Styela clava: one gene and its partner. The protein of the gene in region 1 interacts with the protein of each later gene in a pairwise test. Links are inferred from orthologs where the notes say so. Each region holds a gene or a part of one and is shown on either strand. Other genes may lie near its edges.

What was found.
Region 2: the proteins of arf-GAP with coiled-coil, ANK repeat and PH domain-containing protein 2-like (region 1) and ras-related protein Rab-35-like interact in a two-hybrid assay, tested with the Caenorhabditis elegans proteins (2 studies listed by BioGRID). The link is inferred for Styela clava from reciprocal best matches to the Caenorhabditis elegans genes cnt-1 and rab-35.

What each region holds. Positions count from the first base shown.
Region 1 is NC_135256.1:11,289,349-11,298,036, forward strand, and holds the start of arf-GAP with coiled-coil, ANK repeat and PH domain-containing protein 2-like, read left to right. Parts: upstream 1-4,978; 5' UTR 4,979-5,017; coding exon 5,018-5,070; intron 5,071-5,248; coding exon 5,249-5,306; intron 5,307-5,599; coding exon 5,600-5,658; intron 5,659-6,250; coding exon 6,251-6,311; intron 6,312-6,646; coding exon 6,647-6,700; intron 6,701-7,383; coding exon 7,384-7,439; intron 7,440-8,413; coding exon 8,414-8,597; intron 8,598-8,688. Other genes in the region: uncharacterized protein LOC120327969, read right to left, coding at 1-191. UniProt on the Caenorhabditis elegans protein: GTPase-activating protein for the ADP ribosylation factor family. Regulates endosome recycling downstream of rab-10 and upstream of arf-6.
Region 2 is NC_135252.1:15,515,474-15,525,053, reverse strand, and holds the start of ras-related protein Rab-35-like, read right to left. Parts: upstream 3,869-9,580; 5' UTR 3,749-3,868; coding exon 3,697-3,748; intron 3,611-3,696; coding exon 3,560-3,610; intron 3,377-3,559; coding exon 3,253-3,376; intron 2,857-3,252; coding exon 2,732-2,856; intron 2,641-2,731; coding exon 2,516-2,640; intron 1,069-2,515; coding exon 937-1,068; 3' UTR 1-936. Other genes in the region: deoxynucleotidyltransferase terminal-interacting protein 1-like, read right to left, coding at 9,042-9,280.

The DNA of each region.
Region 1 (8,688 bases):
TATTTTGTATCTTTACAATCGATTGTATTGTCACTGCCGTAGCAAGTACAAGCACCAAGACAACGTTCACCATCTTCAATGTACGGTACATTCCTACTGCTTCCATTATTGTGCAATTCAATAACTTCTAAAGCATTGGATGAACTAGATTCCCACCATGAAACGAGAAGGCTTAGATAAATCAATTTCATGATTTCTAAAGAAATATAATTTATCTGTGATATAAAAGAACGTAAGCGAGACTACATGTCTGTAGCAATGGGTGTAATGAACATGGCACTTTCTCTAACCAACCACGAGAGTAAATTAGTATAAAATACTGTATAAACAAATATCAAAACTTTAACTAATATATATTTCTATTCACGGTAAAAGGTTAATCGATACCAAATGTATAGTGATATATATTGTCTTACATCTAAGGCAGGGGTCGGCAACCTTTTGTCACTCGCGGGCCAAAATTAAGGGTTGCAAGTCATTGGGCACACATATTTCTAGGAAGTTGAAAACCGAACGGATAATTCTTTTTATAATAAAAAACAAGCAGTGATACATCTTTCGATTATAATATAGATTTATTCCCTCATTGCATTGCATCTCAAAAAATTTCATTTGAATATTCCGGCGCCATTGAACCCTTTGCACTTAGTATCAACTTTTCTGCTTTTCGTTGCCATTTTGTTTAATTATAATTAAATTATAGGCTTATTAAACGAGTAATTGTGAATTTTATACTTGTTAGATTATAATATAATTTAGTCTACACGTGTCTCACAATAAATTCTGTTACGTAAAGAACATAATGTTAAAACAGCTGCTTTGTTACTATAATTCAGTGAAGCGCCGCGGGTCGGATTATATTATTCCGCGGGCCGTAGGTTGTCGCCCCCTGATCTAAGGGAATCAAGCTATCTCCAGATACTGCTATTATCAATTTATTTTTAGATAGCAGAACGATCTGAAACTATACCAAAATGTGCACATAATCACGCTGTAAACAGCGGAGTCGTGTTATCTGCTGGCGACAAGAAGTCACAATCAGGAGAGCTGAAAGCAGAATGTTTACGCTTGTCGCCAAAGTTTTGCGACCGCTACCCCGCTAAATAATAAATGCTATATCTATAGTAGGCGGGTTGGGGCATGCCATTGGTTCCGTCGGAATTGAATTTTGTACAAATATACCCAATGTACTGCCTTGTAATATACATATCTGTTATGCAGCTCAAAGTAAAATGGTCAACCCTACGATACAACAATTATTATAATATACTGGACTTTGACTACTACTTTGGTATACTTAAACTAAGCGGAAAATGTTTGTATTCGAAATTCAAATGTCCTCAACAGATAACAGAACAGTTTATTCAGACTCATCGTCACCCACAAGCAAATTATGAGAAACTAGCCGTAAAAAACTCATTCTAAGCAAACATGTCGGCATTTTTGAATCACGTCGCAACTATTTGGAATTGAGATAATATTATATCCGTCGCAACCCTCAAATTCTCTAATACAGGTGGAATATTTAAATCACCTAACAGTTACTCGAACAAAACAAAACGTAAGTGCAAATGCTCCTTACAGTACACCAGATATTCTAAATTAAATCTTATATTTAAATAAATCTTTAGTCATGCTTAACATAACATTGACAGAGCCTTATCACATACTAAACCAAAGACGTAACATAAGTCCTTGCCTTGATTTAATACAAATATTTACAATATATTTACCGTTCAGAGCAGAAGCGTTTTCAATAAATAAAAGTTTACACTGTTAAAAAAATCTGCACTGTTAGTCAGCTTTCGTAGTCTGATAAATAACGACATTCTCCCATTACACTAGTAGATGACGGTTAGCATTGATTCGATAAATACGTGACAACGTTCTAATTTGACGTTCAAGTGTAAAGATTGAATTTGCATCGCATTATGAGTTTTTACGCAATTTACCATTACGAATTTGTTTTAAATTGTTCATACTAATGAGACAGATAAGAAAGACGGGACGGGATGTTACGACTCTTGCTATGACGTTATATGTCTGTAAGAGAGCACATGGCAACAGCACGGAACAAGTTTGCACATGATCTGATTAATGTAAATATAATTACATGAGTGTAGTAGCCTACACGCCCCGTTCACATCCTCCATAGGTTGAGCTAATTTTGGCATTAGTTTAATATGTCAACCAAAATAAAGAATCCGAGAGCTCTAAAATTGTTTCCTCGTTTTTAAAAATTAAATAGCATTATTCCAAATATGTAAATACATATATATCAAGTGGAAATTTTAGATTATAATAATGCAATCGCGCTTCAATTGTAGTCAGAAAGAAACGCCACTTGATGGGCTATGGACGATATTGACAAATTCAGAAATAACGAGAATTAACCCATATCGCTAATTGCAATTTGATTCGGCCAAGTAGGCTATGTCATATATTTGAGTTTTGCTTGCGCATAGGTGAAATCTTGAATAGAAACATATCTTCTGCCATACCGGAAATTGAAATCTCGTGGGACGTCGCAGATTCAGTACTGGAGCACTTGGAAATTCTGGATGGTACCGAAATGTATTCTCTGGTATTCCGTAATGAATGGAATTTTGCAATATGTAATCTCAAACGTTGTTTAATATTCCCGTGCAATGCAAAAATAAGAAGTTACGAAGAAATCACCTAAAACGGAATTTCGACAACAAGAGCGAGATTTATTTTTATTAGTGGCAGTAGCCTATTTTCATTGGACTCGAAGTGGACCTATGGATCGTTTATTGTTGTTCTTGTTGGTATTGTTCTTTTCATTGTTACCGTATGGAAAAAATCGCTACTGCATCAATTGCTTCGAAATATGTATTTTTCGATAGAAGGCAATCACTCCTATTTATTTCAAAACTCTCTGTGGGCTCTATGTGATTCGTTTTTCACTTTGAAAATTTGTGTGATGACCTCTTGACAATTAATACAAATTATTTGTAGAGGTGCCTCGGAGTCAAAGGTTTTTGACGGTACCGGTACTGTAAATGGTTAGAAAAACTACTGCTTCCCCTCGGTCTTCGTTGAGAGTTTCTCATTTTAATAGCACAATGAATACTACTCATCATTGGTACCAACTTTAACACTGTTAAAAAGCGTCAGTCGTGAAACGTTCAAATAGCAGTTCACCGTTACTTCGATACTGTTGAAAATCCCAATCGTTTAAAGTTCAAATTGCATTTCGCCGTAACTTCAATACTGTTAAAAAGTGTCAGTCGTTAAACGCTTAAATTGCATAGCCTTCTGAGGAACTTTAGTTTAGCTGCAATGATCAGAAAATTAGTCCCGAAAAAGATGCGAAAGACTAGATATAAATAAGCCATCAGTACCTGTAGGCGGCAGGTGATTGAATATTTTAATAAAACTGATGGTTTGAACCAGAGTTGGATCAATTACATTAATTAAGTTCAATTACAATTGCAGTTATGCGCTTAAATATTTCAATTACATTACAATTACTCCGTGCAACAAATATCAAATTACAATTACTTTACAATTACAAATATATAGTTTAACAAAACGTAGCAAGAATTTACAGATTCAAACCAGACAGCCAGTGCTCCCATGGATTCAGCCTATTTTATCACAGCTATTTCTTGACTAATTTTTGATTACTACTATTGATTGAACTACAACTCCTAAGAAGGCAATATGATGATTCACTTATTTGATTCAAACTTAAATTTCCGACACACCATTAAATACTAACGAATAGAATTCGAAATCTTAAAATAAGGTATTGTTTTACGTCATTTTTTCGCATCTTGTTGATTGACTAATGTTACGAAATAAAAAAGGAAGGCGATTCTCGGATAACGCCACTTGAAAAAATATTTCGCCCTTTTTCGTCTTATTGCGGACCAGATGAAAGGAGGCCGTAGTTTGGTGACCCCTGGTGTAATTGAAAGTGTAATTGAGACAAAAATTTTCAGAAAATTACATTTACAATTACACAGAATGAAAATGCCTCAATTATATTACAATTATATGAAAAACTGTAATTATTATTTACATCAATTACAAATTACAATTGATCCAACTCTGGTTGGAACATTAACTCTCTAAAACACTCTCAAAATAAGTCTCAAAAGTTTTGTAGTAGTAAAGTATTGAGACTATTTTCCTGGGGTCAAGGGTCGGGGAAACATCAATACTTTATCATACTTTGTAATGATAAATACAACATTTTCAACTTTGATTTTCAGAGTGTTTTGGAGAGTTGGCGCTTCCAAACTGGTTTACAAGTTCAAAACAATCAGTTTTATTACAATGGTCGCCGCTTACAGGTACTGATAGCTTATTTTTACCTAGTCTATCGCATCGTTTGTGGTATTAATTTTGGATTATTGTAACTAGGGTCCCCAGAAGACATAATGACAGCGATTCCAGTGATTACGTCATTATTAACTTATTGCCGATTGGGCCCCTTGTTACGAAAATAAATAAGGAAATTGATGATCGGGAAAACATAAATTACTGTACCCAAAAATATATTCTGCTTTCCAGTTTCCACTTAGTTTCTCCGCTAGGTGGCGTCGACGGGGCGTAAATTTTTGAAGAATAAAGAATCGCCAAGATATCAATTTTGATACAAAAGCGAAAAAGTGAAGTCGGCCAGCTGGGTAGGTCGCCTGTTTTTCAAAGATACCCAGCCTGCCAGTTCCGTTATTTTTTATTGAAGTGACTGACTTTTGGCTTTCTTAACTACCGGACTCTAAGCAATTAGACTACAATCTGACAACAATGGCAGAAAGTTGATGCTACCGGTGTCAGATGCTCGCTAGTAATACTGTAATAACTGCATAACATGAATACCGTATCTGATTATTCGGAAAATATTGGCTTCACTTTAATATACCTGTATTCAGTTATTGTTTTATTATTAACAACCTTTTCTTCCCTCTGGGATAAATATGTGTGTAACACCTTATTTTCAAGTTTATATTTATAGTAAAATAGATTTTATGTAAATTGAATTTCAATGGCACCCGCACTTGAATTTGATGAATGTGTCAAGGATTCTCCGATGTTCAGGTAAAGTGGTATCACCATATTTTAATATTGAATGTATTGGCTGAATATGTTTAGGGCACATGTTTCAGTGTTTGCATGTGTAGTCTACCGGTATGGCTATTTGAATATGTTTCAATTGTTCTGGTCAAGTTTCCAGAGTAAAAAATTTAAATGAATGACCTATTATTTTATGTTTCAGAGAATTGCTACACAGCTCAGAAAATGACACATGTGCTCTCGAGGGTCTTTTGGAAAAGGTAATTGGTTTTAAAATATGAGATGACAACGTTAGAATCATATGATGATTCTCCACATACTTGTGTTTAATGTTCCACATACAGACATATTTTCGGTATATTTATTCACATAATACAGTGATAGCATTTACTATTACTTAAGTGGCTCATAAAATTTGGATTATATTTTCTTGTTTATATAAACAAAAGCCAGAAAACTATTTTATAAGTGGTTGAACCTATATTTTGTAATGGAGAGTGTTATCTATTAAGGTATGACTACAAGTAATTGTTGTGTTATTGAATCCGTACAGGTTTTAAAGCAATACAACTATGCAAATGAAGCTGAAAAACTTTACAGTTCTGCAAATTTGTAAGTTTGTTACAAATTGTTAAGATGATCTTGCTCAATTACGTAACCTTCAAGAGTGGTTTATAAGTCCCTGGGATCCGGGTCGGAATTGTGTTTTAAAACTTCTAGAGTCGGAGTCGTAATCTCAGATATGTAAGAGTGTGAATCAAAGTAAAATTGTCCAACTGGTACAAAAAGGCGTTATGTTTATCAAGAATTCACAATAGACTATTGAAGTTGGCTTGCATCTGTTAACATCGTTGTATTCAAAATTAATTTTCTTGAGAGATGAAGACAACCCAAAATAAGGAGTCAGAGTTTTGAGTCATAATATTTGAGTAAACTCACAGAGTCATTTTTTAAATGGCTGTGACTTTGGAGTGTGATTGTTGGCCTAATCACACCCCATAAGACATAAGCATAATTAACAACTGAACTAGAACAAAATGATTTGATTCATTATCATAAGCCTGTATTTAAGGAACAATTTCTATTTATTTTTATATATATGAATTAAATCCTTAAAACATTGCCTCTTTATTGTTATTAGATTTCAATGGGACTAGACTTTTAATTTTGAAGTAAAGTTCATTTTGTATTATTGATTTTACAGAATGTTGAAAGAAGTTATTTTAGAATTGAGAGGATATTATAAAGATGATGAGTTTTTAAAGGTACTTTTTGAAATGAATTCCTGTTCTCTAATTCATTAATATAAAGAATAGCATTTATAAGTTAGTAATATCAATAACATTGATGCTTCAAGTTTTTAGATGTAATTTTATGTCATTAAAAATCAAAGCCATATGATATATCAATTTTGCTTTATAATTCTTGGTACTCATTGTGATCCACTCACACTGATATTTTGAAGTTAAGTAAACTCAGAACGAATGTTCTTGCCGAACTTGTGTTCCACATAGATAGTGGAATATTATAATGTATTCTGAGTGATATTAAATTATGTATTGTGCTCTCAGTAACAGTAATTATAATTTTATTTTTGCAGAATATTATCAACCAGTTTTTACATGTTTTGGAAGAAATAAATTCTTTCCACTCGGTAAGTTGAAACAAGTGTTCTATTTTACAATAGTTTGAATGCAATTTAATGCAATGCAAACGTCACGACTCTGATAACCTTCACAGTCTATGTGACTCCCTTGTTCTGTCAAACTGTTTTCTTTTTTTCTTTTGTGTAAATGAATGTTCATTATCTATTCACTTCTTGCATGGTGATGAAATAAATACTATTAATACTGAGGTTTTTTGTTCGGTTTTACACTACAAGGACTGATAATATACTAGAAAATGCGTTTTTGCAATTGTTTCGCATTTGCAAGGTTAATACACCTCAATTATCCAAAAGTATTCTTGTAAAAAGAAATTACTTTAAGTTTTATACATTGATAACTTACCATAAGTGCTGATAAACAATGAGTGATAATTTCTTTATCTTTCCTTAATAAACTTTATCTTGATGAACAAAATGAATTCACAAACATTTCAACAATTGATATTACTAGTAAGTAGTAATAGTAGTAAATCATATTCATTCAGAGTCAATGCTTTCGAAAGTTGCAAGATGTCATGAATTCATTCATGATCATGAAAATTTGAATTCTACATTACAAAAATGCTTTCAATCTACTTTTACTATGATATGATTGTCCAAGCTTGGACCAAACTTCTATAACTAAACACAAAAGAATAAATCGTTCAAATCTATATTTTCTCATTCAATAGATCCTGGATCAAGCACAGAAATCGATAAACACACGTATGACACACTTCCTGAAAACGTGAGTAATAGTTTACAGGAAAAGATTTGTATTGTAACTTGAAATGTTCTATCTCAATACTACTTTATTTAAGGAATTGCTTTTATACCTATAGCATTCATGCCTTGACCTATATTATGGTAGTAACACAAATCAAAATTATATTCCTTGAAGTGGGTATACACAAATCTTAGCATGCAAACAATATATGTTTTGTCTACAATTCAAATGTCTATTCATAGTAATTTACCACATAAGTTACTACATAACAATTGAATAAAACATATTCATTTGAATATAGATAATATAAATATAGATGAAATTAATTAGGATAATCTGTAAATTTGACTTTGTACATTAACCCGTTTGCCTGCTGATGAAGACACACTTGAATAGACATTTTAAAAGCAGTATGAATAATTCTGTTTGCATTGCCATGGTGATGATTATGGGAATTTGCATGACACAGCGTCATAACAAGGCAGTTCTAATTTAATCACAATTTATGTTATACAAAAATATATAGGAAAATTTCTGTTTTGTAAGAAGCGGTTCAAATTGTCTCTCTATATATGGATAAAGTTGGCTTCTAGTACTTCAGACATTCATATGTTGTAACATTCTATCTAATCTAATCTGAAATATATAAGCTAAAGTAGGCTATTGATTGCAGTCGGTGCGTAATCCATACCCTCAATCTCACTCAGGTGTAACAACTTAAATAGGTTATTTCTGTTTCAGAAAAGTGAATATATATATATATATATATATATTGGTAATTTATGTCATATGTGTTAAATAGCTAATATTGAAAGTCTGAGTGAAGACTCACTAGGAGGAAGGGAGAACTAATTTCCAAGCCATGGCATAAAATATTGGTAATATGTAAGATTCAAGCAGTAACTGATATGTTGCAAGACATTAAAGTCCTTCTATGTTAAATTGTCGAATTTAATTGTATTTTGTCATTTATTTTTGTTTAATTCCTTATTCAGAGATGTCAAAGGAAATCAAGATCTGAAGAAAACTTTCGATAAAGTTTCAAACGACTTTGATAATGCATTGAGTAAACATGCATCAGTCAGTCGATATAAACCTCATGAAATTGAAGAATCAGAATCATCTCTCGCTAATCATAAAACTACTTTCAGAAATGTTACAATGGAATATGTTTATCAGGTAATTGATAGAATATGTGCTTTTATCATGACATGAAATTTGATATAATTTAATGTTGTTCTTTAATCTTTTTAATGGTTCATACTTGTTT
Region 2 (9,580 bases), on another chromosome or scaffold:
TTCTACTATGAATACAGCTGAGTAATTGTGATGGCTGATTAAAAGGCTGATGCATTGAAAACAGTGGGTGACAGTACTGCTTTCTTGCTATGACAATGGCTATGAATACGGCTGTCTCAACTTCTAGGAATAAAGACCCCAAAACAAATAACCGTCTCTCCGTCAATAGCTGTTTTTTGGTTTGATTTGAACCATATTATTTAAACAACCTTACAATTATGGCTTAGATTTTTTTTTTAAACACAAGACATATATAATAAATTCTTTAATTTAGGTGTTTTTCAAGTACTCTGATCTACAACAATAAGATGTGTTTTTTTGAATATTTAAAGCACTTCCCAGCAAAGATAATTCGTTTATTAGGAGAATGTCGTCTTATGAGAAATGTATAGTTAGAGACAAATCAATTAGAAAAAGTTGAAAATATAGTAATCGATGATGAAAAAAAGCACTGGAGCTTCATGAATTAAGTCTCCATTCTATAAATACACTACAAACTGCATTGTATAGACATGATTTTTCTATGAGTGTGAGCTGGTCAATAAGCATTATCAAATTATGTTTCCAGCGTCAGGTTCTATTTTTGATACAATGTGTATGCAACTTTCTATGTGTTGAATAATGAATTATATCTGTTACTTTATGCAGTTATAACATGTGGCAAACCCCAGGGTACTGATTTTGAAATAATATAATATAGAAATTGAGTGAAAAGAATTGATGTTTCTTATATTAAAAGACCTAATATCATTTAAATGGCTCTTTCAACCATACCTCCAACTCCACTGTGATATTTTTCTAATATTTTTACTCCACTGTAATAATATTTTGGGTTATTCAATAATATAGTCAGCTTCTGACAACTGGGGCACATATGGTGATAATTGGGGCCCAGAAACCAGATTTTATATATAATTCGGCGAATAACCAATCTCATTAACAGCATCCACCCTTCTTTTTCCCCTTTTTCTTTGTATCTAGTTTAACTGTTTCAATGTTTTGATCTCGACCAGATGCCTCCGCAGATTTCTTGGTTCTTAAAACTTGTCGTGTAACTTCAGTGAACATCTGAAAAGTATAATAGTAAAATAAACTAATCATGTTTATTGAATAAAACTTAGGCATAGCCTCATTAACCAGTCATTCTGTGCTTATATTTATGACAGCATAATATTTCATACTTCTAGTATTCCATTATTATAAATAAGGCTCAAATTGGTGTATACCAATTAAAACTGGTATAACTTGAAATAATGTTAATAATTTGACGTACAGATTTGATGATAAAGAGAAAAATTGCGTACATACAATAGTAGTTATTTAGTCTTGTTTATTTATTTACAATTACACATAGTTTATACCTATTTATCTGTTGTTCAATAGTGAATATCAATCACTTTAGACAAACCTTGCATTAGTAAAACTTCAAATTATTCAACCGGGTATGTGGGATGACTGAAAACCAGTCATCATCAAGTAATGAGTAATATAAAAGGTTATTTGTGTCAATACAGTAAAGTATGCCGAACATGAAAAAAGGTTAACTAGCTATGTCTTCCTAGTGACAAAAATACTATGTGACAGTACATTTTAAAATGGATAATTGAACAATGATTCTTATGGTCATAAGTCAGTAAACTATCATTTTAGGCATAACATGTACTAAGTCATCTTGAACCGTTTTTTTGTCAACATTTATTGAACCAACATGGTATAGCTCCTATGATCAAAAAGCACATAATTTGTATAATGTCATAATTTGTAAATGTCATAAATTGTATATCTCCTGCCTATGCTATAACTAATAGATCTCTAAGGTATATAAGAATCACACGAAAAATTTACTGTAACCTACGAGACAAGACCGCCTCAGCCATCACACCAATTACTTCCTGCTATGACCTGACTTGTTGATAAAGCAACAGGCAAAATCCTGAAACTTCTTAAAATGTGAAAATTTCCTAATGAACTTACTGCAGTCAATTATGATTACTGATCAAAAAAGGTCAGTCAGCAGAATACAATGGCATGATTATGGCATCATGAGATGGCAGTGATTCACAAAACTGGTCTTGACTAATTTGAAATGTATTACATTTCCATAAGAGATTCATACTATTACGAAAAACAATTTTGTACCTTGTTTGCTAAGAGAAATTGGACATCAATGTGAATTCTTTGTGCAAGTAGAAAATAGATAGTTTTTAAAATCTATACAGTATAGCATAAACTATACACATATTATATGGATACAAGTTCAACTGAACTGAATTGGAGTAGATTTCATTTCCATGGAGGATTCAGAATATCACAATAAACAATCGTATTTGCTGAGAGAAACTGTAATGTATAGTTAAATATTGACACAAGTATGCCAGTTTTATCTTATTAGCTGGTGATATTCACACACAAAAAACAGTAGCCTACATGGTTGTATTCTAAAATTACTTTCAACATGCCTATCAAATATGCAGAAGCTTATAAACTTTTCAAACTGTATGATCGGCAGACTCACCTCTTCAACATTTTTATTTTCTTTCGCACTTGTTTCAAACAATTTTATTTTAATTTGATCTGCAAATTTTTGAGCATCTGCTGTTTCTACAACTTTTTTGTCAGGATCATCATCTTTATTACCAACTGTAGAAAGAAAAACAATCTTCAAATTAATTTTCAATACAAAATTGTTGATTTCAACCGATTCTACTTGAAGAGATTAAGGAATACTAACCTAATATTTTATTGACGATATCACAATTTTGTTCAATTTCATGAAGCCACCTCTTGACATTGACAAATGATTCTGCACTTTGCACATCATAAACAACAATAACACCATGTGTCCCTCTGTAATATCTGTTAAAATCATTAGTACAATAAAACTGTTAATGTCCGACTGCGATATATTTTGTTACATGTTTTCAATATAATACACAGAGATACTGGAATAAAATACTGATCAAAACAGAAATAGATTTGTTTATTCCAATTTTTTTAAAGACCTCGCTCTACTTTTCTGAATCTTATTTCGTAAAATTTGACCTACGGTAAATATCATTTAGAATGAAAAAAATTAAAATTGGAACTAAATTTTGATTACCCTTATAATTTTTAAAAAAGTGTTATTTACTCATTACTACACGGAATTCAAAACTAACTGAGATGCATTTTTAAACATTCATAATTGAAAGCCTGAATGAGTTAATAAAACAACAGCTCACGAATTGTACTCGCTACAATTTATATTCTTACGTTGATGTTATTGTACGAAATCGTTCTTGGCCTGCTGTATCCCAGATCTGTAATTTGACTTTTTCGCCTTCAATTTCAACTGTTCTGATTTTGAAATCAACTCCAATTGTTGTAATATAACTCCCTGTGTGTGGCATTCAATAAATAACACAAAGTGCAAAGTTGAATCAATGTATCACAATCATACACAAAGCATTAAGAACGTAAATTACACTCAAATAAATTAACTCTTTGAAAATTGAACATAATTCAAAATAAAAACCTAAGGATGAAGCTTGGAAACAAATTAAACTGGAGATATAAATACCTGAAAATGTGTTGTCTGCAAACCTCAACAACAAACTGCTTTTGCCGACACCTGTGAAAATTTACACTTTAGTCATCAACTTTTTACTTGGTATGCATAAAAAACAACACAACAAACGATAGACACAAAGTACTTACCACTATCTCCTATAATTAAAAGCTTGAACAAATGATCATATTCCCTTGCCATATTTCATATGGAGGTGTAATTAGGGAAACCTCCCTTTCAAATTATATAATAAGATAACAGGCTTGACAAAAAATAATCCAATGCAATAACTTCCACAAAAACCTGGTAAAATTGTATAAAAAGTGCAGTTGTTAAATATTCAGAATCAATCAAATACTTGCCATGTCAATTGTTATATTTATCATTGACTAGGTGGAGCATTACTGTACTGTACTGTATTCCAGTGTTTTCATCAATAATATCACCTTATATCAGAAGAGTTACTTGTTCAGAGCCATGTTCAGGCTAAGGCATTGTCCATGCATATGAAAACAAATAACTGGCCAACTACTCCCATACCCAACATGGATCGGTAACAGGACGAGGGGCCATGGTTTGACATATGATTAAGCCTTTTAATCGACTTTCCTCTACTCTGGGATAAATATGTAAATCCTATTCTAATTCCTGAGCAATGAAATTGTACGACGAAACGACAATTATTCCATACAGGAGTTGTATTCAAAATCTTTGATCATTCTTATACTGTCCCGAGTTTCGTACCTAACTTACCTAACGTAGGCGTAGCATAACAATTTTTTCACGTGTCAATCCTAACCCCCACCTGACCACACCATCCAAAAACTACGTCACTACGACGTAATAGAGCCCTTCAAACTATGCGAACCGTCATTCAAGACGCGCAGACGAGAACCCGAAATCGAACAGCTATTTCTCTCGTTTTCTCGTCGCAACGATCCCGATAGGAGAGAGATCGCTGACGTTAGTCAGCTCTTTATCGTCGGCGCCGATGTCATTTCGGGCAATCGTACGAGTATTTGGCAAGCTCTATGACGGGATTGTGACGACGTAGTGACGTAATTTTTGGATGGCGTAGTCAGGTGAGGGTTAGGATTGACATGTCAAAAAAATGTTATGCTACACCCACTAGAAGTACGTTAGGTACGAAACTACACGAGACCCGTCCCGAGCTTAGCATGTTGAAAACTAAAGATGTGCCGATATCACTTTATTGCCAATACTGATATCAATACTGCTATATTTTTAAATTGTCTATATTATCAACCTAATTCCAATATGTAATTAACATCAATATGTATATAAAATGTTCTTGAATGTACAGAACAATGGGATAGAATATTTGTTTGTTTATTGAATTTACGATGAACATTTTTTCAACTAAAGTAAAATATATCCCAGAATATGAGTATGCACAACTTCAAATCTCTATTTATGATTCAAATGCATAAATGGGTTATAAATTTAGGTCAATGACTCACTATACTAACTGTAAAGAGTTTGATAAGGCTGTATAATTCCTCCACAGCAAAAATAATTCCATCTCAACAAATGGGAGCATACACTACAGTTTTCACTAACAAGTTTCAGAGTTTACAACTCTTGTCAGTCTAACTAACAATCTTCCTATTTAATCCTTTTCTTAAAAATTTGGTGAGCTTTTCATGGGACATTTCACACATTCACTTCAAGCAAAACAATAAATCTAGCTAAAACAATTCATAATGACTCATTCTAATCAATTCAATCGCAACTATAATAGTACATAAACAATTTTTAGTTTCTGGAAACTAAATTATAAAATAGCACCACCATTCGCAGAGAGATTTTAAATCAGATAAGCAGAGTCTAGATATTACATAAGTAAATTTTGGAAAATCATGCTTGTTTTGAGTTATTTATATATATCTTCGTTAAAGAAGTTGTTTATAGTTTGTTATAGAACTTATTTAGCACAGCTATAGCTTAGGCACAATATTATTATTATACTGTTTTAATTTAAATCCAAGCAAAGTCAATTAGGTTATGAACATAAAAGTTTATTTAATTAGAATTACTGCTTTTATGCCTTGCATTTCTAAGAGCAGCATGAGGAAAGCCATAAACAGTGGTCTCAACTGGTCAAAATGACCAATAATGCAGTGATTTCAAATATGGGAATTCATTACACCGGTTTTTCTCAATTCCAAGGCCAAAAAGATTTGAATGTTTTACGTGAGCATTTTAAATTTTCAGTCACATCTATACAAGCTGTAAGGTAACTATAACTATTTAAACAAATTTGACATTTTAGTGTGAAGATTTTAGCATAGACCTTTACCAAAGCCAAACATAGTACTGAACTATGTATGTTATATAAAATCCATCAGCTCTGATGAAAACATTTTCTTGCCAAAAATAATCAATGATAGTTGTAGCCTATATGGCATAGCCAACAATATGAGAATACAGCATCCTTTACATTCATAGAGCTGTAGAGGGATGGATTGCAAAAAACAATTTACTGACAGATGGTAGACTATATTCTGATCCATACACAAAATATTCTGGTAATTAAAAATATTTCACATGCATTTTTATCTCTCAGTGAAGCTGTCTGCAGTATGGAACAGAACATTTGCAAGATATAAAGAGAATAGAAAAAATCAATGGAAAGGTATTGCGGATAATGGTTCATTAAAAGGGATCAACATACAAACAGTCAACATCAAATCTCAAAAGATATTCATCCTTCTCAAAATCCTCATCAAATCTCGAAAGATATTCATCCTTCTGTTAGTTCTTACTTTGGTATTGATACTGAGATGCTAATACTAAAACCTGAAAACTGTGGGCTGTAGAGTAATCTGGTGTTAAGGGTTTTATTTTGTAATGATCAATAAATAATATTGTAAAATACTTTCGAGAATTGGAAATAATATTATCTGTTGATCAAGGTTTATATTTGACGCCAAGGATCTTCGGTTTATCGCAATATCATTGATGGATGGGACAAAATAAACATTACTGGTACTTTAAATAACAACATATATCTGTATATTCAGATATTGCTGTATCAGTGTACTGGTGTAAGTCTGAAAAGATTGAAAATTGAACTTATATTTCCATCCTTTTAGGACATTCAAATTACTGAATTAAGGCATATCAGCATATACCTGTATACCAGTATCAGATTGAATTAGTCATTATTACTGCTGTACTGTATTAGCTTGAGTGTTTTAAAAGTATAATAGCCCAAAAGTTCAATACATTTGCGCATCTCTTGTTTGGTCATTTCTGACCCTAGCCTGGTTAATTGGGTTTGTTTATTTTTTGTAACTTTTTTTTGTGTGTGTGCTGGTGGGCGGTTTTAAGGCTTTGCCCGCTCTCCAGAATTCTCCCTTTTTAATTGGTGTGTATTATGGAGTTTTCAAAATAAAGTATCTACTACCTACAGACCTATGGTTCGGCAAATAATTAAGCCGTCTTATCAGCTCCCCAGGATAATTATGTGAATTCTATCCTATACCTTAATTCTATCCAAAGTCAACAGAATCACTGTATCATAAACATAATTAATTAAAGATAATATTTTAACAGTAATTAAACATCGTTTTGTGCGCTTTACAGCTAGACCATGTAACCAAGTCCGTACCTTATGTTCGGATGTTAGCACTACAAAACACTGAAACATGAATAACTGTTTTACTATGACTAAATACTGAAATATCACATATATACAGAATAATTCAACAGCAGCCCACCGGCATTGCTTTACGACTGTACGACAGTACGATGGCCTCAGACACCCAATACGCCTATGAAATGACGTCATTCAATTCCAGTCCCTTCGCGAACCTCGCTGGGTCCGAATCTCATTCAGGAGTCCGGAATTGTCCACGTTCACTTACTAAAAAGAAAGACATAACTGTGTCTTGAGTTGACTCATGTCTGCATTTTATTACCGTACTAATTACTGTATCGAGTCGGATAATTTTTTGGACAGGCATTCCATGATATCGTGCGACACCTGACCAGACTTGTATCTTGACAGTTGAGAAGCGACCAATTCAGGTTTCTTGCACTTTTCCAAGAAATTCGAAGGAAGTCTCGCAGACGCAGAAACTGTTACACCCAACTCTTAGCTGATATTGTTATAGACATGACAGATATTTTTTGATACATCATTGGTGATTGACTTCCATGGTCTTTGGTCCTATCGCCATCTCCCAGTCTGTACCAAAATGAGTTCTGTTCAATTTTTTATCACTTCGAATATGCATTTTGGTTGAAAAAAATAATGAGCCTCTATATTTCTCCTCATACACGACATATCTGATGAATCAGTAATTTATTTTTCCACCATAGCGAATAAAAAATACAAAAAATGAAGTAAAATGGTACTTCAGGGTGAAAGGAGGCGCGAGACACCAAGACTGGTTATCGAGCAGGGACACTTAATTTCGGGTGGAAAAAAGTTAAACAACGGCGATTCGTGGTGGACATTCGTCCCTGCAGCTCGCGGATTTGAAACCTGTGATAAACCACATTGTACATTTATGTATTGGCTATGTACAATTATTTATAAATGCCGGACTTATAGCCGCCGAATGAGATCTCATGTTTACGACCATCCGGTAGGTGCCCGTCAAAGTCCCAGCTGAACAAATAATTGCGCCTAACCTTTTCCCATGAGCAAGAAAAATTAGATCCAATACACGTCGCAAGCGTGAGGCATATTCTTCTCCCTGCTCTGGGCAAGTACGATAAGATGGTTCAAATTGCTGCTAGCAACTCTGGCACGTTCCTCTACTAACAAGACGGAGCATGGAGCACATGTTTACTATTCAATGACCCTTGCCAACTGATAGACGCCAGTTTAAAACAAAATTTCGAATAGACGGACACATAATGCTAATGCCGACGCGCGATGGTAAACGGGTATAACGCTTAGTACCACGCACAAACCGCAGTGCATAAGCTTGCCTCACAGTCGGCCAAACACTAATCTTAATTAAATTTTTGGTGAATGAATTCTACAGAAAATCACAACACGGCTGAATGTAATAAATTGCACAATTTCCTCGTAGACTGGGAGACAGTACTGGTTAAAACATATATAAATATAAAGTACATATCGAGAATTTCGCATTTTCATCATTACCAATATTTCAACAAATTTTTTTTTTTGAGGCACATAACGTCAGGATGAAAAATTTAGGTCCTATATTTCTTCCAGTTTCTACACTTAATGTGCTACTGAAAAATATCCAAGAATCATACAAAATTAGCTCACAATATCGAGAACAATGTTAAAAAATAAAACAACAATAAAATTGAGCAAATCATAAGATTTATAAAAGTTATTGCCTTATGAAGCCCTATCTTAAAAGTTTTCAGTCATACCCGTCCAAATCAAAATTAGAAATTACTCCTCTCAAACACCTATACCATTGTTTTTCAAACATATTATGCAAAAAGAAGGCTCGCATTGAGTTGAATCGAATTGAAAATATTAGCCAGTCGCATGACTACGTCCAGTCCTATCTGGCTCTGAATCACTATATCCAGATAAACTTTCTGCATCAGACTGTCTAGTGAATGTAACTCTTCCATTACTAGTTTCATCCATCTCTTCTGATGATGCACATATTGCAGCTGCAGCTCGCTCGGCTGCTGGTCTTGTAGAGTGACGAGGTGAAGTTTGACCTACACGTTGTTGATGATTTTGATACGACTTCACCGAAGTATGTTCTGATAATAAGATATAATAAATTGAAGAGATCCATATAAATTATGGGTTTTATTGAGGTGTATTGATAAATGATTATCGTCATTGCAAACGAGATAATAAAATAGGATTTTATGCAGTGGCAAGTCAGAGAACAAAGTGAAACAACTAATTTAATGCCCTAATTTCGATGTTCCACAAATATGTGTACCAATATAAAAGTAACTAACTTTGTTCGCCTACTTTACATCAAGTTGTGTAAAGGGACTGAAACCTATGGGCAAGGGGATATTCACTTGGCAAACAGACAGTTTCCGGAATCG